Regions from separate parts of the Mus musculus genome. Here all the other regions are reported to be linked to region 3. Evidence: microRNA targets listed by miRTarBase, many of them from high-throughput screens and not tested one by one. Region 3 holds a microRNA gene; each other region holds the end of a gene's coding sequence.
The links. Region 3 holds the annotated microRNA mmu-miR-465a-5p (UAUUUAGAAUGGCACUGAUGUGA, at 3,484-3,506, opposite strand). A microRNA usually pairs through its seed, bases 2 to 8, with sites in the 3' UTR of a target mRNA and lowers its output. Matches are read on the target gene's strand: a 7mer-m8 pairs with bases 2 to 8, a 7mer-A1 pairs with bases 2 to 7 and ends in A, and an 8mer does both.

Region 1: the mRNA of Ybey is a reported target of mmu-miR-465a-5p. Seed matches in the 3' UTR shown: 7mer-A1 at 3,465-3,471.
Region 2: the mRNA of Gid4 is a reported target of mmu-miR-465a-5p. Seed matches in the 3' UTR shown: 7mer-A1 at 1,960-1,966, 7mer-m8 at 2,430-2,436 and 8mer at 4,424-4,431.
Region 4: miRTarBase lists Cdc37 as a target of mmu-miR-465a-5p. The part of its 3' UTR that is shown has no 7-base or 8-base seed match.

The regions. Positions count from the first base shown.
Region 1 is chr10:76,458,813-76,464,679 of GRCm38, reverse strand. Ybey (ybeY metallopeptidase) reads left to right here. Exons shown (of 5, transcript NM_172550.4): 4 at 355-423; 5 at 1,361-5,113. The coding sequence ends at 1,447. 2610028H24Rik (RIKEN cDNA 2610028H24 gene) reads right to left here. Exons shown (of 8, transcript NM_029816.2): 8 at 3,462-4,193. Among named protein-coding and RNA genes, the nearest start is that of Mcm3ap, 7.2 kb to the left of the region's middle.
Region 2 is chr11:60,440,804-60,446,670 of GRCm38, forward strand. It overlaps Gid4 (GID complex subunit 4, VID24 homolog), which reads left to right. Exons shown (of 6, transcript NM_025757.4): 6 at 1,176-4,474. The coding sequence ends at 1,239. It also overlaps the pseudogene Gm12268. Among named protein-coding and RNA genes, the nearest start is that of Drg2, 11 kb to the right of the region's middle.
Region 3 is chrX:66,835,616-66,841,482 of GRCm38, forward strand. Mir465 (microRNA 465) reads right to left here and starts at 3,510; the gene lies at 3,437-3,510. It overlaps Mir465b-2 (microRNA 465b-2), which reads right to left and starts at 227; the gene lies at 149-227.
Region 4 is chr9:21,135,244-21,141,110 of GRCm38, forward strand. It overlaps Cdc37 (cell division cycle 37), which reads right to left. Exons shown (of 8, transcript NM_001378796.1): 6 at 5,710-5,867; 7 at 5,515-5,586; 8 at 4,188-4,720. The coding sequence ends at 4,565. Among named protein-coding and RNA genes, the nearest start is that of Tyk2, 6.9 kb to the left of the region's middle.

The DNA.
Region 1 (5,867 bases), not on the chromosome of region 3:
ATTCACCCTTGCTTAATTCTATCTAGTCAGATTCCCAATACTGCCAGGGACAATCAACTCTTTTTACCTGGTCTCAACCCCAAACAGTGTTGCTCCACACTAATTAAGTGAACTGAGTGAATGAATTGTTCTGTTTTAGACAGGAGGCGATAGAGGTTGGGATGTAGCTCACTGGTAGCACTTGCCTAGACAGGAGAGAACTGAGTATTAACTCCAACCCAGGGCAGCAACTGTGTATCCTGCCCCAGGGTCCTGGCGTAGGACAACTCAGTCTTACAAGGGTCCTCTGTGAGCCCGAAGGGGCGGCCGTCTGGTAGATCATCCCCTGAGCTGACTTCTCAATTACTCCAACAGGTCACAGCCACCCATGGACTCTGTCACCTGCTGGGCTTCACCCACAGCTCCAAAGCCGAGTGGCAAAAGGTAGGAGGGGTACCTGTGCAAGGGGCTACCCCAGATACACCCTTAACCCTTAGGCTGCTGCCCAGCATTCCCCTCCCCCACCTCGAAACCCCATGGCAAGAGGCCGAACTACAGCCTCCATCCATCCTGCCTGGAAAGGTGAGGTCTTGTATTGAAGGCTCTGGCTCCTCATGATACTTCACTCCTGAAAGGCACCCTGGACAGGCAGGTGAAAGTTAAATTCCCTGAATGCTAGCTATTATCGATGGGGGTCAAGGGACACTTAATGTTCAGAAAAACATACAAAAAATAAAAAATAATAAAAAAAACCCTTACCCATCAGTTGGCAACAAATAATGCTAAGTCATGGTTTTTTTCTTCTAACGGCCAATGGGTACCACACTTAAAGCCCACTACGTTGTCCAATAGGCTTGGGTTACGTTTGTAGGTAATGTGTGTGCTGGTTATCTGCAGAGGCAGAGGAAGGAGTAGATCCCCTGAAACTGGAACTACAGCTGGTTGTGAGCTTCCTGATACGGGTGCTGGGAACCGAACCCAGGCGATCTGTGAGAGCAGTGAGTGCTCTCCACTGCTGAGCCATCTCTCCAGCACCCATGAATGAACTTTTTTTTTCAAATTAAAAGTAGATCGCAGTCTGCTTCTGCTACCACCCAGCCCTGTCTATGCCCACTCCCTCCCTGCCCCACACTTCCCTGGGCCCCATGTGTACCCCAGCTTCTCCCCCTTCCTTTGGGAGCCCACTCCCTGCTGTCCTGTCCTTTGATCTTGCATCTACCTACAGCTCTCTGAGTCTCTGTTCAGGTGCTGCTGATAGACTTGTGCAGAGCCTGGGGGAGCGGCTAGGGGGGCTTCAGAAGGAGGTGAACCCTGGGAGGACTCGGACTCGGGACAAGGGTCCCCAGAGTCCCTCCAGAGCTTGTGCTCTGCTGTGTTCCAGATGTACAACCAGGAGAAGCTGGTGCTGGAGGAGCTGAGCCGCTACACGGGAGCTAGGCTCCAACCCCTGAGCAGGGGCCTCTACTGATGCCACAGAGCTTTGAGACAGAGAACTTGTTGGACAGAGTCCCGTCCCTCTGCAAGACTCCAGGGAGCCTCTGCTTACCAGGGAGCCCCTGAGTGGACCACGTGGAGCCGGAATAGATGCAAAAAGCAAGAGGAATTTTTGTTCCAGTGCACTGGGGTCTTCCCAGACCCGAAGGAGAGGCGGCGACCCCCAGCACCCATTCAGGGAGTTTTTATATGGTTTCCAGGGGCAGAAGAGAGCATCAGCAACTAGGCACAACGTGATTGGCGGAGCAGTGCACCCTTTAAACTGATTGGTCTTTAGGGAATGAAGTGACAAGGACGTCCCTTGTCTGAAGGTGTCCTGCAGGATGTGTCCCCACCCACAGGGCAGTTCTGCCCTAAGGTCTGAGAAATGTTAATTAGCCTCTTCCTTCTGGAGGGGCAAGTGTTTCATGACCTTCCCAAACTTCCTAAGCTGGCCTTTTTACCTCCACAGTGGATCTCTGCTGGTCCTGTTGCCCTGGAGGGCCTCAGCCCACACTACAGCTTCACTCTGTGAGTGGACCAAGTACCAAGGAAGTGCCTGTCAGCCCTTACTCTGATTAGAAATCTATGCGGACTCTGTTGTAAGCAGAATCAGGCGTTCTAAGAGAAGAAACATGGACGCTCTTGTGCTTCTTTGGGTTTCTAGCTGTAGAGTCTGGGCAGATTGCCTTGTCTCCCTGAAGTGGGAGGAACGTGCCAGAACACTGAAGCCTGTTCTCCTAGGAGGAGGCGCCTGCAGACCAGCAAGCCCAAAAGGACACCTTGTGCCCTCGCCTTTCTTAAGCTGTTGGCTGCAGACACCACGGGACAGCCCACAGACCTTGTCTCCTGGGGCCAGAGAGTCAGGAGTGTCCCCCATCTGTGTTGCTGTTTGTAATTGTTTTAGATGACCTTTATTTTATTTGGAGCAGGGCAGTGGTGGCACACGCCTTTAGTCCCAGCACTTGGGAGGCAGAGGCAGGCGGATTTCTGAGTTCGAGGCCAGCCTGGTCTACAAAGTGAGTTCCAGGACAGCCAGGGCTACACAGAGAAACCCTGTCTCGAAAAACCAAAAAAAAAAAGGATTTTATTTGGTGTGTGTCATGTGTGGGTACACATTTCCCACTGCGGGGGGTGGGGTGGTCAGCTGGGGGGAGATGTCTCTCTCGTTTATTATTTTGTCCCCAGAGATGGAACTCTGGTTGTCAGCCTTGCCATCCCACTGACATCCTGCAGGCCACCGTAGTCCTGCCACTGGGGCTCCCCTATTGGCTGTTAGAGGCATGGTAGTTCTGCTCAAGGCCTGGAACATGGAATTCTGGTGACCTGAAGTCTAGTTCAAAGCAACATGCAAATGTCTGTGCAAATCTGGATCACGAGAGTCTTCCCAGCAGGTAGCCAGGGACCTTGAACCTAGATAGGGTTTCCTGACCCCTCTGCTGGGTGTACCCGCATATACACCTATGCCAGCCTGTTCCCTTCTTCTCGGCCATCTAACTGGTTCCTCGCCTTTGAGCATCCTTAAGGAATGACTGCTTCTGTGCCCTTCATTTTTCTATTTCCCTTTTTCTCTGCTTGGTATTTCTGGTTTAATTTGGTGGGGTTTTTGGTTTTTTTGGTTTTTTGGGGGGTTTTTTTGTTTTTTTTTTTTGTTTTTGTTTTTGGTTTGGTTTGACCTTGCAGCTCTGGGCATGGAATCCAGGATCTTGTCAGGCTTGGCAAGGCTCTGCCACATTCCCAGCCTGTTGCTCAGCTGCCCTAAATCTGTGGGTTGGTCAGCAGCTGTCTCTGAGTCCAGCCACATTGTTATGATGACTCCAAGCCTGAGGGGGCACTATCTGCCCTGTTCCAGGAGGCACAGCATCCTCACTTGGGGCTTCCTCACTTTGTGTTTATTCCAGATTTCATTTCGTCCCTCACTTCCCTGAAGGGCCTGTGATGTTTTTTAATTTTTAAAAAAGATTTACTTGGGTATGGGGGACTTTTGGTATAGCATTGGAAATGTAAATGAGCTAAATACCTAATAAAAAAAAGATTTACTTATTTTATGTATATGAGTACACTGTAGATGGTTGTGAGCCATCGTGTGATTGCTGGGAATTGAACTTAGGATTTCTGCTCGTTCCGGCCCTGCTCGCTCCAGCCCAAAGATTTATTAATTATATGTAAGTACACTGTAGCTGTCTTCAGATAAACCAGAAGAGGGCGTCAGATCTCATTACAGATGGTTGTGAGCCACTGCGTGGTTTCTGGGATTTGAACTCGACCTTCAGAAGAGCAGTCAGTGCTCTTAACCGCTGAGCCATCTCTCCAGCTGGGGCCTGTGATCTTGATGAGAGTTTCATGGACTCTGTGGATTGGCCGCTCACACACTTGAGCCATCTTTAAAATCTCTGGGGCGTACTGTGCATCTTCTCAGAGTAAAGTTGTGCACAGTGGTGCAGTCCCTGTCACCACTGTTAAGGGGCATGGCCAGGAGAAGCTTTTCCCTGAGTCACTGGGGACCCCCTAAGCCCACTACAGGGCCTGCTCAGACTCTTTAGTCTCCCACAGGTGGTCCTCAGACAGCAGGCTTGAAAGGGACGGGGAAGACTGTGTGTGAGGGTGGGTCCATGTACACTCCCATAGCTTCCAGAGGCTGATGGTGCTCCCAGAGCCAGGATGCTCCCAGGCTACTTCCTCCTTGTTAGCCCAGCATTGCCAGGCCATCTGAGACAAAACATCTGCCAAATATCTTCCTTCTATCAGATCAATAATCATATGAGAGGAAAATCGTGTTAGAAACATCATCTAGGAAGGAAATTATGTGAGCTCTTTAACTGGTGCTTTTAACAAAACCAAGTTTCTCTGGAACCACACCCCAAGGCGCACTGAAAGACAGGTCTGTCTTTATGGATTCTTCTCTACCTGATGGGCTGGGGTGGAGATGGAGGAGAGAGAGCAACCATCCAACCCTCCCGGAGTGAACAGTGCTTTGTAAACAGCGTGTGTAAATACCCATACTTACACAGCCTGCAGTGCCCACGTGCATGCATGTGGACCTCACATGTACCTGGGCCTTGTTATGATTATAAAATGTTATAAGTATGAGTATCTTGCCTGTGTGTATTTATGTGTGCACTCCTGATGCCCTTGGAGGTCAGAAGAGGACATTGACTATCCTGGAACTGGAGTCACAGAGAGTTGTGGATTGCCATGTGGTGCTATTGAAAGAAAATAAAACTTGAGTCCTGTGATTCATGTAATAGCCCAAAGAGTTGTTTGTGAGCTTTGAAGCCTGGGACTGAGAACATAGCAGAACAGGCCAGGACATGCCTGGGCAGGCCCATCATTAAGACATTCCTGAGGCTGCTTGGCCATAAAGATAAAGAGAATGCAAAGACATGTCCAGACTGGCCTGGCGCCTCCCTATCTCCCACCCTTCTGACATGGGTTAAATGTTAACCAGATGCTCTGCTGTTACCTCCATCTGCACATACACTCTGCTGATGTTTAAATGAACCAATCGTGTGAAACCGCGCCAATTCCTCCCCCAGCCCCAGACCCTTTTCTATAAAAACCCCTAGCTTTCAAGCCTAGTGGTCGACAACCGCAATCTCCTGTGTGAGATACATGTCGGCCCGGAGCTCCGTCATTAAACTACCTCATGTGTTTGCATCAAGACAGTCTCTCGTGATTCCTTGGGTGCACACCAACTCGGAATTGAGTGGGGGGTTTCTCCACTAGGTTCTTTCACTATGACTTAAACCTGAGCAACAAGCACTCCTAACACTTAGCCACTGAGCCAGCTCTCTAGCCCTTTTTTGTTTGTTTGTTTGTTTTTAGAGACAGGGTTTTTCTGTGCAACTCTGGCTGGCTTAGAACTAACTATATAGACCAGGCTGGCCTCTGCCTCTGGAGTGCTGGGACTAAAGATGTGCACCACCGTGCCCAGTTTCTTATTTTCTTTTTAATTACATTTAACCAGCCACAGGGGCTGGGGTCCAGGCACATCCCATGCAAAAATGGAGGCAAGAGGCCAACCTGTAGAAGTTGGTCACCTACCACCACCACCTAAGCCCCCATATCCTGAGAATAAAACTCAGTTATCAGACTTGAGAGCAAGCACCTTTACCTGCTGAACAATCCTGTTAGCCCTGTATATGCCCTGTATTATTATTATTATTTCTTTCCTCCTCCTCCTTCTTTAGAAATATCTATTTCATGCATGAGGACACTGCCACTGTCTTCAGACACACCAGAAGAGGACATCCCATCCCCCATTACAGAGGGTTGTGAGCCACCATGTGGTTGCTGGGAATTGAACTTAGGACCTCTGGAAGAACCTTTAGCGCTCTTAACTGCTGAGTTTAACTCTCAAGCCCGGCCCTGAAGTCATATCACAAATTCTTCAGCTTGCTTCTTTCACATTAAAA
Region 2 (5,867 bases), not on the chromosome of region 3:
TCGATTCAAATTCTTTGTTCTTTAGTTTTGTTTGTTTTGTGAACCTAGGGACTGAGTTACATTTGTTTGTTTGTAGACATAGTTTACTGTGGTGACCATAAACTGAAGAGATCGGGAACTTGTATTCTTCTGCCTCCAGCTCCTGGGTAGCTCGGATTACAGACCTGCACTCCAGGCTTGACTTTTGTTTTGTTTTGTTGTCATTTCAGACAGGCTCTCACTATGCACCCTTGGCTGAAGAAGAACTCTATGTAGACTAAGCTGGCCTCAGACTCAGAGAGATCTACCTGCTTCTGCCTTCATGTGGTGGGATAAAAAAGGCTTGTATCTCTAGGACAGTCAGGGCTACACAGAGAAACTGTTTCAAAAAAAAAAAAAAAAAAAAGCTTGTGTCACCATGCCCAGCCCCAGCCCCTTAGGGCCCTATTTTTGTGAACTGTATTACAATTATTTTGTAAAAGCAATTCTTAGGCATGGTACAGGTGGAACAACAAAAAAGGAACAGAGGGAACTAGTTAGGTAAAACAAGTTAACAAAGCCAGACACAGTGCTATACACCTGTATCTCCAGCTACTTGGGAGGCTGAGACAGGTGGATTGCTTGGTTCCAGGAGTTCAGGACCAGCCTGGGATGCACAGTGATACCCCATTTCAAAAATACAACAAGATGGGGAAGGGAGGGTCTAGAGAGATGGCTCAGCAGTTAAAAGCATGTCTGCCCTTCCTCAGGACTTAGGTCTTGATTCCCAGCATCACATGGTGGCTCATCATTTATAATCCCAGTTCCACAGGGTCTTATGCCCTCTTTTTACTTTCTCTCTCTCTCTCTCTCTCTCTCTCTCTCTCTCTCTCTATCTATCTATCTATCTCATGCATGCACAAAATAAAAAGAAAACAAAAATTTAGCAAAATTGAGGTTTGATGCCACATATGTTTAATCCTAGCACTGAGGTGTCAGAAGTAGATGGATCACAGTGAGTCTGAGGCCAGCCTGGTCTACATGGGGAATTCCAGGCCAGCTACAGCTACATAGTAGGACCGTCCCTTTATGTAACTGGAAATGGTTTAGCACCTCAATCTGAATATAATTGGCGGGGACTCTAGGTAGAGTTCTCCAGTTGCCTTTGTTCAGGATTCCTAAGAAAACTCTTCTATTCTGTCTCTCCTCTATTACAGGTATCAGTCCCTCAACCTGACCCATGTTCCTGAACACAGTGCACCCATCTATGAGTTCCGGTGACAGAGGTTCAGAACAGTGGCCAAATAAAACTGAACTTGGCAACAAAGAGCTTTGCGAGGAAATTATGTACCTGCCAGAACCAGGAGAGGTGTGTTCCTGTTTGTTCACGAGCAGACTTCATCAGAAAGCATGAATGTTAACCTACAGGATCCAAGGAGCATGGCCAACCTGCAGGCAGGCAGAGGGAGCTGTTCACCTCCCACCCTCCTTCCTCTCAGTGGCATTGTGGTCACCATCTGTTTCTGAACAACCTTAAATGCACTTTCCTTCCTGCACAGCTAACTTCTGCATCACTGAAATGCCATCTTTCCTCGGCCTGCCTCTAGCCAAGTGGAAGGTCAGCTCCTGGGTCACCTTAGCCTTGGTGCTCAGTGGTCTCCACCCAGGCCCTACTCCTTCCTCAGTTGCTTGTTTGGTAGCCCAAGGAAAGGGAGAGCCCAGCATCTTGTGCCCCAGAGCTCTATGTGAGTTGCCTGGGCCCAGCATATACCACCAATGAGATGAGATGGGGTCCCTGGTGGGCCTCATTGACCTTTGATTCCAGTTGATGTCTTGTAGGGCCCTGTGTGTTAACAATGCAAGACTAGCACATGGCTGTCGGGTTTTCTGGGCCTGCTGTTGGGGATCACTAAATTTAAGGCTTCCAGATCCCTGGTAGGAGTAGATCCCAAACTGCTTTCTCAGTACATTTGCTCCAAACTTCTGAACTTGAGGGCAATACTAAATAAAAGAGTTTTTTATTACAAAATTATTATTTTTATGGTACCTTTAACAAGGACCCTATGGCAAATGCACAATTATTCCGAATTACATTTATCGTTTTCACATTGAAAACAGCAAATGTTGACGTAGTGACTTTTATATCTATGTCTATATGTATATTTAATCAACCAGCAGTTTTGAAACAGGTCATCCTGGTACAGAAGTTTTGCAGCATTGCTTAAATCACAGTGCTAAACACAGGAACTGTTTCCGGGCCGGCTGAGCATTTGCGCCTCCTCCTTTTGCTACTCAAAACATCAGTGTGTCATGACAACCTTTTCCAAAGGCAGAGGGGGCCCCCATTCTCCGGAAAGGATGACTGAAATGTTGTCATGGCGTGGGCAGGAAGAAATGCACTCAAATAACTCGAGGCTCATGTGCCAAAGTGTGAGAGAGGGGAGTGGTTTGGTTTGGTTTGGTTTGGTTTTTCTAAATGTTTAAAAAGCTTAATAGATTGGCATCAGTTGTAGTCCACAATATTGTCAGGACTTTGGGGAATTCTGGTGGTTTACAGGTCCAAACACAAGGGGAAAAGCTTTAAAATAAATACAGCATCAGGGCTGGGAGTGCAGCTGACCAAGCACTAGCTTGTCACATATGAGGAAGGACCTGGCTTCCATTTCCAGTGCTGGAAAAAGGGAACACCAAGGGGTAGCAGGTTGGCTGCTGTTGTATTGTGCTGTGTGTTACTAATACTGAATATCTGGGAACCTTAAGAGAGCAGAAGTGGGGAAAGAAACCAGCAGGTACTTGGCAATATCCATAGCCCCAAAACTTACCCAGTCAGTAAAGCTGGGGCTCAGAAACCATAACAATACATCATCCCAAGACTTAGGTAGAAGAAAAGAATCCACATCCATCGCTAGGGCTGAATCAGTGGTTCCTTACCCTTGAGAAGCAGCCTGGGTACGGCAGTGCACCTCGAGGCCCAGCTGCTCAGAAGCCTGAGCCCAGGAGAAAGGGTCAGTCTAAGGTGAACCTAAACTTCATCTGACATCAAAACTCAACTGAATATGAGATGGCCGGCTCTGGTCAGAAGCACCTGGCTTACACCACAGGCCACCATCGCTTCACTTAAGCTGAGGGGCAGCACTGGAGAGTGAAGGAGGCAGAAAGACTGACTGCTGGCTTTTCCCTGCAGCACCTGCTCCTCTGGCTTTCCACCATGCTATTGAACCATTGTGTGCTGGGCAGGTATCATTCAGCAGTGGATGGAGTCACCCTGAAGCTAGGGCTCGTGTGTAGCTCTAGTAGCACGTCAGTGAACAGCCTCTCCTCTAAACTGGGCAGGCCAGGTCGGAGCATAGGGGTTCCCCCTACACCCCCCTTTTGTTCCTTTGATCTCTTTGTCTTCAGGGTCTCACTTTGTAACTCTAGCTGGCCTGGAGCTCACTTTGTAGATCAGGCTGACCTTGAACTCACTGAGATCCACCTGACTACTCAGAGCGAGTACTAGGACTAAAGGTGTGAGCCACCACACCCTGCTTTTTTTTTTTTTTTTTTTCTTAGCTAGGGAAGTGTTCCAGCTCTACTTAGAAAGATGAGGGAAGGATGCCTTTAGCAGACAGACTTCAGACCTACCTGAAGACTTGCTGCTTAGAAGTCTGCCCCTGAACACTGGGCAGGAATAAACATGTTCCACTTCTTAGTAACTCCTAGCTGGTGGACAGTGACTTCTTTTCCTTTTCTGTCCCTGGAGGACCTCTGGGACTTGTCTCCATTGGTAGCTCTTTAACCAGCTGCTCAGTGGCTTGCATGCCTCTGGTCCTGTGTGCAATATCTTTGCCTGGCACTTGTATCTAACATTGAAAAATAGGTGCAGACTGCAAATGTCCTACTGTTCTCTACTCCAACGAGCCAACCCCCAGGCAGGGACTAGAGGTCTGGCTGCTCTTCTCTTACCCTCCACTCAGAAGGCTCCACTGCTGTGGCCAGCTGTGGCCCTCTCGTTCCCTGCTTTACCAGTCTACCCACCTATCTCCTTTAAGATGGCCTAGCATGTCAGCTGCAGTCCAAAAGTAAGTAGACAAAGCCTCATGTTAAGTAGACAGTCAGGGTGGACTGGCCCTGTTAGCAGTGTTGGAGTCAGATTCCAGTGGAACAAAGGGGTTTCTCAATGTCTTTTGCTTTCAGAAGCAGGGAATTCATATTCCCTTTAAGGCCTTGAATGGATTTTTTTTCCTCATAAAATAGTCACTGATAAGCTAATTTTTAAAAAGAAATGCCATTACGTATGTTACATTGTGGTTTAAAATTACTAACAAGTTCTGGGAAAGAAAATACTTGATTTTGAATCTTAAATGTTTTTTAAAAATTAGATTTGAATGGGCGCAAAGTACAAATATTTTGTTTCTTTATGGAAGACCTGTGGAAAGGGTTTGAAGATTTGCAATGGGAGAATTATTTTGCAGAGCTATCAATGTCTAAATAATTTTTGAAAAAAAAAAACCAATAAAGGTATTTAAGCAGTGTGTGTCCAATTTGTAAGTCAAAACATTCCACTAGGAGAAATCTGTTCCTTTGTGACTGGAGCAGGAACCAGCAGGTCAAGCCTAGGTTTAATCAGGTGAATGGCTGGGCCGTGTGCTGCTTCAGCAGCAGGTGTACTGAGCCAAGTTGAGGAGTCGCAGCTATCAGATCGGTATGGATGCCACAGTGTTGGGTGTGGGTCAGGTGAGGGAAAACACCCTTTCTTCCATCTAGCGTAGCTTATAAGTTCTTGCCTTGATTTCTCTCATAGATTTGGTGGTATGTATGAGTGTTTTGCCTGCATTGTGTCTGTATACTATGTAGTCCCTAGTGTCCACAGACACCAGAAGAGGGTTTTTGGATTCCTCTCAAAATGGAATCTCCTTTCACTGGTGGTTGTGAAAGGCCATGTAGGTGCTGGCAATCAAACCTGGGGTCTCTACAAGTGCAAGTACTTTTAACTGCTAAGCAGTCTTTCCAAACCCCTCATAAATCTCTCATATGCCTGTATGCCACTACCATTTGAATTCTCCCCAGTAAACTTACAGGGTGGCTTCTATAATAAGTTTTATTCCCAGGAATATCTCATTAATCTGTGCCAGAGAGGTGGTGCTGTTTTGGGGTCCACTTAAAGGCTGCAGTCCTCCCTCATAAAAGAGTCAAAAGCTTCTTGTAAAATTATTTTCTAGGGTTCTACCCAGCCTAAAAATTGTTTTATATGGTGGGAGTAACTTGGAATAATGTCTTTACAGACTGAGGTGCCTGGCAGTGCTCAGCCAGCCACTCTACCTTTTGTCTTCTTTCCATTTTGTTAGAAATGAACTTCCTAGCTGGGCAATGGTGGCGCATGCCTTGAATCCCAGCACTTGGGAGGCAGAGGCAGGCAGATTTCTGAGTTCAAGGTCAGCCTGGTCTACAGAGTGAGTTCCAGGACAGCCAGGGCTACACAGAGAAATCCTGTCTGGAAAGACAAACAAACAAAAGTAATGAACTTCCTTAGAAATCTGGAAGGAATTTCTTGGCACACCAGTATTGAGATGGCAAGAGATGAGCCATTATGTGATGGTGTTGGTGTTAGGCCAGCTGATAGAATCGAGCACGAATTCCCTTCACAGCACGAAGGGAATCTCATAGCCCTAAAGCCTGGGTGCTTGGGCTGATTGCAGGCCTGTCCTAGTGTGCTGAACTGGGTGTAAGCAGCAGGCTGTGGGCCTGTCACACCCCACCTCAGTCTGTAAGTTAAGGACACTCAGTCTTATCCCATTAGGCTGTGTCAAGGGCTTCTGCCAGAACATTGGAGTTCCTGGGAAATGGTCTCAAATGTTGAAGAGACTTTAAATTTAAACTGGAGTGCCAAAGAAATACATCCTTGGTCAGCCTGGGCCACAAAATAAGAT
Region 3 (5,867 bases):
ATAAATAAATAAATAAATAAATAAATAGAAGTAAAAAAAAAAAGAATGTGGCCATGTGGAAGCTCACCTATAATTACAGAAGGCACATTACATGTACCTACAGATATTCTGAACATTCATCTACAAGTCATATTAAATGTATAGTTGGTAAGCCTTACTCTACTTAGAAAGGCCCTGATCAATTTTTTATTTCATCAGATCAGCACCATTCTAAATAGGGCATTGCATACAAAGCCTTTAAGGAGATGTTCAAACATTCATAAACAGTCTTGTTAGCTTCATCAAACCTCTAATCATAGCCGTTAAGGGCCAAGTAAAGGGTCATACAGAATCCTACTACTATAGAAGTTTCTTTTAATATATATACACATATGAGGAATCAAAACAAAGTCACTAAATAATAGGGAAACCATGCTCTCCACATTACAACTTTCACCATCAAGTGAAACATGCAATGATGAACTGTTTATATCTAGTTGGATCATTAACCAAATGGTTTCCTCCAGCAAACAACTTAGGCTATTGTAAATATTTTGTAAATTGCAAAAACTCTTCATAAGGTGATATTATTGAACAAGGAAGTCAGAGTGGTACCTGTAGAATCAGCACCTCTACTAATCAGCATTCATGGTACTGAAAGTTACTCTGAATGATACCAGAGGATAAATGTAACCATCAACACAACTACAAACCATGTGCTCTACATGGTGATTTGCCTACATGCTGTACTGGTGAAATAGTGGCACAAATGCAATGCAAGTAACTAATTAATCTCTCAATGGGTTTAAGGCCTGCTGTACAAGATGGAACCCATATCCTGGGGTCAAGAATCTAAGTCATGGGCCTAGGAAAGAAACGCATGTTCTATTTTTCTTCTAAATGTACAATTAAATGACTCCTAAGGATGTTCTCCTATACGCATACCAGTGTTTTGATCAGCCATAATTAAAGTTTCCTCTTACAGTGGATGGAAAAACACAGACCCAGAACTGGGCAGGATGCAGAGAATGAGAGAATTTGAATAAATACAGGACAATTTAAAGTAGGTATTGCCTCAGCTAGATCCATCACTCTTAGTAATTTTATCACTGTACTCCATAGAGTGTAGAATTTATTAACTGACCTTTACTCATAAACCCTAGAAAAAAAACCAAAATACTATTTTAAACTTATGCCTTTTCCCAAATTCCCTAGCCATTTTATCACTAAATTATGAAATAGTCATCAATGAATTTGGTACCTATTCCCCCTATTGTACATAAAATTAGTGTTCTAATGCTCCTGGGTAAAAGAAAGTAACTGCATATATACTGCCATTTACACCCAGAGCACAATTTCAGGGCATGATGATTCTTGTTTTTACACAAAGATTTGTTCTTCATGTGTTTATAGGACTGAAACAAATCAAGACTATAGCCTGGTATATAGTGCTGATTTCACGTATCTTTACCCTTCCCCATACTTTCAACTGTAATTATAACATAAATAAACATAATATAACATACATAAAGAAATAGCTTTCATCCTGTTCTACTCAGGAAATTCTCTCACCATCAAAATTCTCCCTGAAAGTACATTTACTCATGTTTTTTCTTTAAATGAATACTCATCTCTGTATCAATGCAATATGTTGACTACTATTTTCTTTTTTGACAACTTTACTACATTTAGTATATATGGCTTATTTGCTTTTATTATTTACCTTTGTTTTCTAACCTGTACATTTTACAGTAAACAATTCTATGGTGAATACACCCTAAGTTACATTGATGTCCAGACAGTTACAATGCATCCTGCTATCAAAAACGTTTATCTCTCACATGTTTGAAGTTTAAACCAAATTATATCACCACAAATATTGTATGAGTGAGATTTATTTCAGACAAAGAAGTCCTGAAAATATCTAAGTCACCTATGCATCATCAACATTAGTTAACTGTTTTGTACTGCCCGAACATGTCCCATCATATCCTAGAGACTTTGTCATACTCCTAGAAAAGACTTGGGACTGTTCACAGGGTCCCCAATGGAGGAGTTAGAGCAAATACTGAAGGAGATGAACGGGTTTGCAACCTATAGGAAGAACAACAGTATCAAACAACCAGAACCCCTACATGCTATGGACTAATCCACCTTCCAAGAGTACACATGGAGGGACCCATGGCTCCACCAGCATATATAGTAGAGGACAGCCTTTTTGGGAATCAATGTGAGAAGAGGCCCTTAGTCCTGTGAAGGCTTGATGCCCCAAATGTAGGGGAATGCCAGGGAGAAAAATTGGGAGTAAGTGGGTGGGTGAGGTAACACCCTCACACAAGCAGGGGGAGGTTAGATGGGATGGGGGGGATATTGGTAAATGGGAAAACATTTGAAATGTAAATAAAGAAAATATCTAATAAAAAAAAAACAGAACAGAGAGTGGTGAAATTCAAGAAATCATGTAGTATCTTAAAACCTTGTATTTTGTTACATAAGAAAACTAAAAGAGGTATCAACCTGTTGGTCTTCTCTTTTCTTGACTTCCTTGTCTTTGCATATTATATATTGGGTAATCTATGTTTCTGGGCTAATATCCCGTTATCAGTGAGTGCATATTTAATGACTTCTTTTGTGATTGTGTACCTCACTAAAGATAATATCCTCCAGATACATCCATACATCCAAGAATTTCATAATTTCATTGTTTTTAATAGCTGAGTAGTACTCCATTGTGTAAATGTACCAAATTTTGTGTATACATTCATCTGTTGAGAAACATCAGGGTTCTTTGCAGTTTCTGGCTATTATAAATAAGGTGGCTATGAACATAGTGGACCATACCCTATAGGTGGAACAACAATATGAACTATCCAGTATCCCCAGAGCTCATATGCAGCAGCTTATGGCCTAATTGGCCATCATTGGGAAGAGAGACCTCTAGGTCTTGCAAACTTTATATGCCCCAGTACAGGGGAACACCAGTGCCATGAAGTCGAAGTGGGTGTATAGGGGATCAGGGAGCTGGGAGCATATAGGTTACTTTTGGGATAGCATTTGATATGTTAATAAAGAAAATATATAATAAAAATTTAAAAAAGAAAAAAATGAGAAAGAAACCTAAAGGATATGAATGTATTTCTAGATGACTATTATCTACTGTACAGCAAATAAGAAGGCCTGATCAATTCTGAAGGGAAAAGCAGAAGTAGATATGGTGGACAGGGAAAGTATACAGGGGAGGGGCTACAAGGTGTGTAGGGAAAAAGAAACTAGAATCTGGACATAATACACGAGGAAAGAATAAGTAAATTATAAATAAATAAATAAATAAATAAATGAATAGAAGGAAAAAAAGAATGTGGATATGTCCAAGCTCATCTATGATTACAGAAGGCACTTTTCATGTACCTACAGCTAATCTGAATATCCATCTACAAGTCATTAAACGTAGAAGGTGGTAAGCCTTACTCTACTTAGAAAGGCCCTGATCAATTTTTTATTTTATCACATCAGTGCCATTCTAAATAGGGCACTGCATACAAAGCCTTTAAGGAGATGTTCACACATTCATAAACAGTCTTGTTAGTTTTATCTCACCTCTAACCATAGCCATTAATGGCCAAGTAAAGGGTCATACAGAATCCTACTACTGTAGAAGTTTCTTTTAATATATATACACATATGAGGAATCAAAACAGAGTCACTAAATAATAGGGAAACCATGCTCTCCACATTACAACTTTCACCATCAAGTGAAACATGCAGTGATGAACTGTTTATATCTAGTTGGATCATTAACCAAATGGTTTCCTCCAGCAAACAACTTAGGTTTTTGCGAATTTTTTATGATTTGCAAATACTCCTGGTAAGGCGATACTGCTGAAAAAGGAAGTCAGAGTGGTACCTGTAGAATCAGCACCTCTACTAATCAGCATTCATGGTACTGAAAGTTACTCTGAATGATACCAGAGGATAAATGTAACCATCAACACAACTACAAACCATGTGCTCTACATGGTGATTTGCCTACATGCTGTACTGGTGAAATAGTGGCACAAATGCAATGCAAGTAACTAATTAATCTCTCATGTAAATAAAGAAAATATCTAGGAAGAAAAAAAAAAAGAAAAAAAGAATGATACCTACTTCCTCCTGATATTTATTCGAAAGACAATGACAGTAATCATCCCAATGTTCTAAAACACTTGTATTCCTTAACAAATTTAACTTGCATTCTTCTTATTTGAATGATTATATGGCAAAAAGTGAAAATGCTATACTTCCATGTATTTAATTTTTTTCTGTGATATCATACTGTTTTTATATTAAAAACATACTGTTGTAATAACTCAGAAGATGTCTGATTTATAAGTCCTCGGAAAGGCATTTGTGAGATTTGAGAACACATGTAGTGGTTACTTGTAGTTATTCTTCCATTACCATTCATTTCTCACCACAAACATTTTATTTTTGAGCATTACTGTACACAGAGATGATCTTAAAATGTAGTAATAAATAACCTACAATTAATTGTTCAATAGAATACAATTCATGTGGAATATAGAAGTCCTTTTCCAAGCCAAAGTTTTCAAAATGTCAACTACAGTGTTCTTTGCCTTACATCTTTCCTTCTTTTTCCTAGTCTATGTTAATCTTAATGATGGTTTGAATCTATGGTTTAAGTTCTCTCTCATTCACTTTTTCCCTGTAACAAGATCATAATCTTCATGATCATATTTTCTTTAATTCTCATGAGTTTCAAAATTGGGCATGGTAAATAAGAATGTATCCTGGAGACATCAAATGTGCATATTTAACCAGAGACACCAATTCAAGGGAAACTGCAAGTGTACTGACACTATCACTCAGAGATCACAAAAACTATGAAAGGTAATATGAATTGTTCACAAAGAAGTTTGGGACATATGGTGTTTAAAAGATGGGCCACAGTCTAGTTAAAATACAGATAAGTAGCTGCTTGAAAATTTTCTAAATTATCATTTTCTATCATCCTCTCCAGATTTTGTAACATGAGAAATAAAGAAAAATACTCTTACCATGAGCTGATTCAATCGTAAGTCATGCAAAAATAAAAAATTCATTTTCCTTTACCATATATTTTACCAAAGATCCTCTCAAATTATATTCTTTTCATCTACACAATAGTCAGCACTAAGAGAACAACATGTTTGTTACAATTATTGATAATACAATATAATAGGCCAAACAATTTTACCTTCATCTACTTTTAATCTGATAGATCCATGTTGAGAATTATCCATGAAAGTCACCTTAAGAGTGCCTGATAAACTGGCCATTGGTGACACAGATTTAAACCCAGCACTCTGGAGACAGAGGGAGATAGATCTCTGTGAATTTGAGACCAGCTAGGTCTCTCCAAAGTGAGTTCTAGGCCAGCCAGAGCTACCATAAGAAATTTTGTATTAAAACCAAACCTAACAGAACCAAAAATCTATAAATGGTGCCTGATAAAATAAATGTTTGGCAGGACAGGACTGGTATTAAAAAACATATCCACAAGTGTTTTAGATATATTACCCACACTATCCAGATGTTACCTATATATGGTAACAATATACAGACAATTCCTGCATCTTTATATACAGAGAGAGAGAGAGAAATGACTTTAGTTCAGTTGGCTGCCTGACTAAAGCAGAGCACTGCACATAGACTCTGCTAACTCTAATATCCACTACAGGTCTTGAGGATAGCATAATACACAAATTCCCAATTTATTTTTCAGGAGTTCTGGTGAGTGCCAAATATAATGACATTCACAGGAAGAAGTGAAAATATCACTATTTGCAGATGATAAAATATATATACGTGACTTCAAAAATTCCATCAGAGAACTCCTAAACCTGATA
Region 4 (5,867 bases), not on the chromosome of region 3:
ATAATAAACAACAGCTCTTTCCCCCCCAGGGGATGCTGAGTCACGAGCCGGGGTAGCCAGAGTTTGGCATTCTCCAAAGGTCCCAAGGCTTGGCTTTTTCTATTTTTGGTTTTTCAAGACAGGGTTTCTCTCTGGAGCTCTGGCTATTCTGGAACTCATTTGGTAGACCAGCCTGGCCTCAAATAGAAATCTACCTGCCTCTGGTTTATTCTGTTTTATTTGTGTGTGACATTTAGGCACATACATGTACACAGTTGTGGAGGCCAGGGGAAAAACCTTAACTGTCATTCCTTAACTGCCATCCACCTTGGTTTGGTTTTGTCCGAGACAAGGTCTCATTGGCCTGTAACATCCCATTTGGATAGGCAAGATGGCCGCAGGCTCCAATGGCTACCGGGCTAATGAGCATGCAGCACCCTTCTGCTTTTGTGTAGGTTCCGAGGCTCAAACCTCACTTCCTTTACAGTTCTTTGCAGACTGAGCTCTTCTGGGCTGACTGGGCTTCTCCCCCTCCCCCTCCCCCTCCCCCCTGTTTCTGTTTGGTTTTGTTTTCATATTCTTTTGAAAGATGGGCAGGGTCTGTGGAGTTCACTTTAGCCTGGGCTGACCTCAGACTCAAAGCCCTTCTGCTGTCTCAGCTTTCCAGATGTTGGAAGTACAGATATGAGTGCCAGCCCAAGTCTGCCAGTTCATTCACAGCAGGACAGACATCCCACATTGAACAGTGGAGAGAGAAACCAGCTACCTGAGGCTACTGGGAAGGCCTGTGTTTGTTCTTCTGACCCAGAGGTCTTGTAGAACTTCTGCACCCTAAACCTGTCCATTACTCAGCAGGAATACCCAAGGGGTTTCCCCAATGGGGACTTTCCATACGAAGAGGGACAAACCCAGGACAGCTGGAACAGGTTTCAGAAATGAGGGGATTCCCCTAAGCAAGGCAGGTCTTTGGGGGAAGGGCTTCCCTAAAGTTCCCACCAGACCTGGGAAAAGCCAAGATAAAGAATTGAAAACAAAGTCTGTTGTCTTCTGAATGGGAGGTCAGGGAACAGTCAGGCCCCTCTCTCCTGAGGACTGCAAGGTGACTTGCTGGGAGACTTTCAAAGAAGGTTCCATGTCCTGCTGTACATGTGTGTAGCAGTATTCTCTAGAAACTGTGTCAACCATGGCAGAGAAAGGAAAAACTACAGAAATAGGGTGGCAAAAGATGACAGCCCACAGATGCCACTCTGTTTCTGCGACACCCCCACCCCCACGTAGCTTTGTAGCTGTTTTACTTCTCCGTATGTAGGGTCATCAACTGAGCTGGTAAAAATGAAAGCAAAGGGCTTGCATTTCCCTGCAATCGAGGACCCGGTTCAATGTGTCTAGGAGCCTAGGGGGGTGGGGACAGGAAGCCACCAGAGACTTCCTGACAGCCCAAGCAGCTAATGGGCATCCCTCTACAATGAGCTGCTGAGATGGCTCAGCGGATAATGACACTTGCCACCATTACTGACATCAATACTTAGTTCTAGCTCCAGTTCCCACAGAGTGTAGACACAGAAACTCCAGCTGCTTTTCAATGTCTACACAATAAGTATATCAATAAAAATTTTAGACCTATTTGTGGAACTATTTTGTTATGAAAAAACAAAACAAAGCACACTGAGACAAGATAGCCTAGGCTGAACTCGGTCCATACTTGTGCCTCAGCCTCCCAAGTGCTGGGATTATAGACATGTACTCCGTAATCAGCTATGAGACAACTCAATGAGTTAAAAATATAACCAAACCAGACTGTCAAAGTAACTCACAACCTATGTTCATCACAGCACTAGGCAGACTGAGGTAGGTTGACTGTCACAAATTCCAGAGTAGCCTGTGCTACAGTGAGACTTAATCTCAAAAATCACGAGCTGGAGGAATTACTGTGGTCAAGAGCACTGATTGCTATCCCAAAAGAGCTCAATTCCCAGCAACCACATCATGGCTCATGACCTTAAAGTACACACACACACACACACACACACACACACACACCCCATGTGTTTGGATCACCTGGAACTGAGTTACACACACACACACACACACACACACACACCCCATGTGTTTGGATCACCTGGAACTGAGTTACAGACCTACCTTTCAACTAAAGAATACTGGGCTTGTAAAGATTTGTGGCTCACTCCTGCCCTCTGGTGGATAGACACTTGGACACAAGAGCATTCTGGCCATTCTGCAAATCTTTTCTGTGGGCCTACTGTGCGTGCTCCAGTCCCCTTTCCCAGTGCTGTGGGAGTCTCAGGGGAGAAGGGAAGGAAAGGCTCATAGTGCCTGGTAGTCTACAGGTCATACCACACCGGTGAGGCAGTCCTGCGGCTAGTGTGAAAGGTGAGAGGTTCAGAGAGCTCCCAGGAACATGTCTGGGAGGTGCACTGCACCGAGCTAGGGCTGGTTAAAATGTTTTTTCATTCTGTTGTTCCCTGAGATAGGATCTCACTGTGCAGCCCTGGCTGGCCTGCAAGTCACCATGTAGACTAGCCTTGCCTCAGATTTTGGAGATCAGCTGCTTGCTGTCTTCCAAAGGCTGAGCTGGGTCCTGAGTGAGAAGCAGTTCCCAGAGGACAATGCCCTAAAAGGGGGATGGATGAAGGGTCAGAATCTTGCCTTTGGCTGATTTCAACTGATGCAGCTCACTGCACCATTTTTGCATGTTTGTTCATTTGCTTATTAACTTTATGTTTTAGGTTACACTCTTCTGTAGTATGCTGAGTTGGCTCTCTCCTGACAGCAGGTAGCATGCTGTAGGAATTAAAACTGCCAAGCTTGGTGGCTAGTGCCTTTCACGGCTGAGCCATCTCACCAGGTCATGCAAGTTTACTTTCTCACGCGTAGCCCAGACTGGACAACCATGTGCTTTGTGTGTGCCATCGGCATTAGGCATGTGTACTGTGCCTGTGTACCGTAGGACCCAGAGGATGCCCAGTGGCCTGCTCTATCATGCTTCATGTTATTCCTACTCACAGTCTCTCAATCTGAAACAAGACCTGCAGCCACCAAGCCCCAGGGACACGGTCTTATCTCCAAAGACACCGAGGTTACAGGAAGTGCACACGGCCATGTCCAGCATTTTGGTGCTGGTATCTAAACTGAGGTCTTCTCAGGCCTCTGTATCGAGAGCTATCCTCTCAGTCCACCACCCTTAACTCCAGAATTAAATCCAACTTTGGGCCTGGGATTTGCAGATGTGGCACCACACCCAGTTTATGCAGGGTAGGGCTAGAAGCCAGAGCTTCCTGAATGCTAGGCAAACACTCTGTAAACTAAGTCCTTTAATTCATTTTCACCGAGACAGTGACTCACTGGTCAGCCTAGCCCGGCCTTGAACACATGACCCTTCTGTTTCATTCATTCTTCAGAATGATACATGTGCTTTAAAAAAAAAAAACAAACAAAAAACAAAAAACAAACATTGCTGGAACTGAAACCACGCTAAGCCAAGCTCTGCCACTAAACTCTAGCCAGAGCCCCAGGCTACATTCTTTCTAACAGGAGAAATCCTCAAAGTTGCTCCCCAGGACTGGAGAAAAGACTCAATGTTGCAGAGGACACTGTGTTCACTCCAAGTAGCCACATGGTGGACTGAGGGCCACTGGGAACTACAGTTCTAAGAGATTCTGGCCTCTGCAGCCACTACATGTACACGTACAGAACACTCATACACATAAATTAAATTTTAAGCCAGGAGTGGCTCATGCTTTTGATGCCAGCACTCAAGAGGTAGTGAGTGGCACGTGGATATCTGAGTTTGAGGCCAGCCTGGTCTATATAGTGTGTTCCCAAACAGCCAAAGATACATACAAAACCTATCTCAAAAAGACATTCGGGCGTGCGAGCGTACACACACACAAATAAAAATTTAGAATAAGATGTTCCCCTAGCAGAGGCAAAGTCTAGTGTGAAAGGCCACATATATCTCATGCCCAGGTTACCCTCAAACTCGTGTCCTCTTGTCTCCATGGAGTGCTAGGGGGAGAGGGGAGACAGAGGGAGGAGTTAGGGGAGGCTGAGACAGACAGTTGGAGAGACACAGAAGGCCTAGGACTTCTGAAGGGTGAGGACAGGGCAAAGGCATGGATGGCTGTTAGCACTCCAGTTCTCCCCACCTAGGTTCACCCTCTGCCTCAAACAGCACTGAACCAGCGGCCTCCAGCACCTGGAACTGTTTATTGGACATTGTTGCCAGTTGCAGGACAGGAAGCTAGACAGAAGAAAAACAGTGACCATAGACCCATAGGGACAGACCTTGCCTAGATGGGGACATTTGTATCCCCAACCCGGTGGACCAACCTGGCAACTGCTGCCCCTCCCCAGGCCCCCAGGACTTTGGCATAACGCTGATGGGGGTAGGAGGCTGCAGACAGCAGAGCCCCTCAACCCGAAGCAGAGAGTCTGATGAGCGCTGGGGACAGGTGGGAGGAGAGGGGACACGGGGCAGGCCATGGGCCAGGATGTGAGGAGCAGCACAAGTGAAGAAGTTGGGAGCTAGGGACATGGTGGCTAAGTTTCCTTTTCCGGAGAAGGGTCACGCACTGACGTCTTTCTCGTTGCCCGCTTTGGGGACGGCTTCCAGCAATGGGTCCCCGGGGCCCGCCTCCTCCCCCTCCTTGGCCTCACCAGACTTGGAGTTGGGGACCCAGAGGCCAGAATCGATGCAACGCTGCATGTGATACTTGGCATCCTGTGGAGAGAGGGAGGACAGCAGATGAGGCCATGCCAGCAGCATGATGCCCAGTGTCCCCTGCACCTCCTTCAAGGCTGCTCAGCACCCACTCCACCCAGGACTGGTAATATAGAACTGCAGAAGCTAGCATGTGACTCAGCGGGTGCAGCAATTGCCCAGTGTTCTGAGACTCTACCATTCCAGCACCACAGACAAGCAGATATGGTGGTACACACTTGTGATCCCACCAATTAGGAAGTGGCAGCAGGAGGGTCAGGAGCAAAGGTCATCAGTTATGTAGCACATTTGAGGTCAGCTTGGGCTACATGAGACCCTGTCTCAAAAAACAAACACACAGACAAAAGGGAGTGGTGACAGCTATGCTCAGCAGTTAAGAGTACTTTCCTCCAAATCATGAGGACCAGAGATTACAATCCAGCACTTAAGTAACCAGCGAGGTAACCTGAGCACGCAGGGGACAGAGCAGCTCTATCTGTGAGTCTGGAGCTAGCCTGGGAACAGAGGCAGGTCTATCTGTGTGAGTCTGAAGCTAGCCTGGTCTACACAGTGAGATCCTATCTCAGAGAAAAAAGGTGGTGGTGGTGGGGCAAGGAATTAAAAGATTTTTTTAAAGTATACTGGTATTGTACTGCGTGCGTGTGTGCAGAAGGGTGTCGTTCTCAGACAGGGTCTCACTGAATTGCTCTGGCTCATCTTAACTAAGCCTGGCCTTGGACTCACAACCCTGCTCTTGGATGACAGGGTTGCACCCCCTGGCCATCTGCCATCTGCCACAGGGACTAGGGACTCACAGTGGGATCCATTTTGCTGATGGCGTCTTGCAGCATCTGTACATCCTTCACATCAAAGCACTTCTGCAGCTCCTGAGTACAGAGGGGCCAGGGTGAGGGCCTGGGCTTGGGATGGGTGGGAGCAGAGGGGCGGGGGCAGGGAGCAGCAATGGGTATACATCACCCTCCTCCCTCCTGGGCCCTGGGGAGTCACACCTCAGGCAGGGATTCGTAGACCTCCACGGGGTCCAGGCCACCAGGGCCTAGCCTCTTCTTGCGCTCCTCCTCTTCATATTCCTTCATGGCCTTCTCTATTCGCAGCTTGGCGCGGCCCCGCACTCGCTCCTTAAAGGCTTCCAGTTCATACTTGAAGC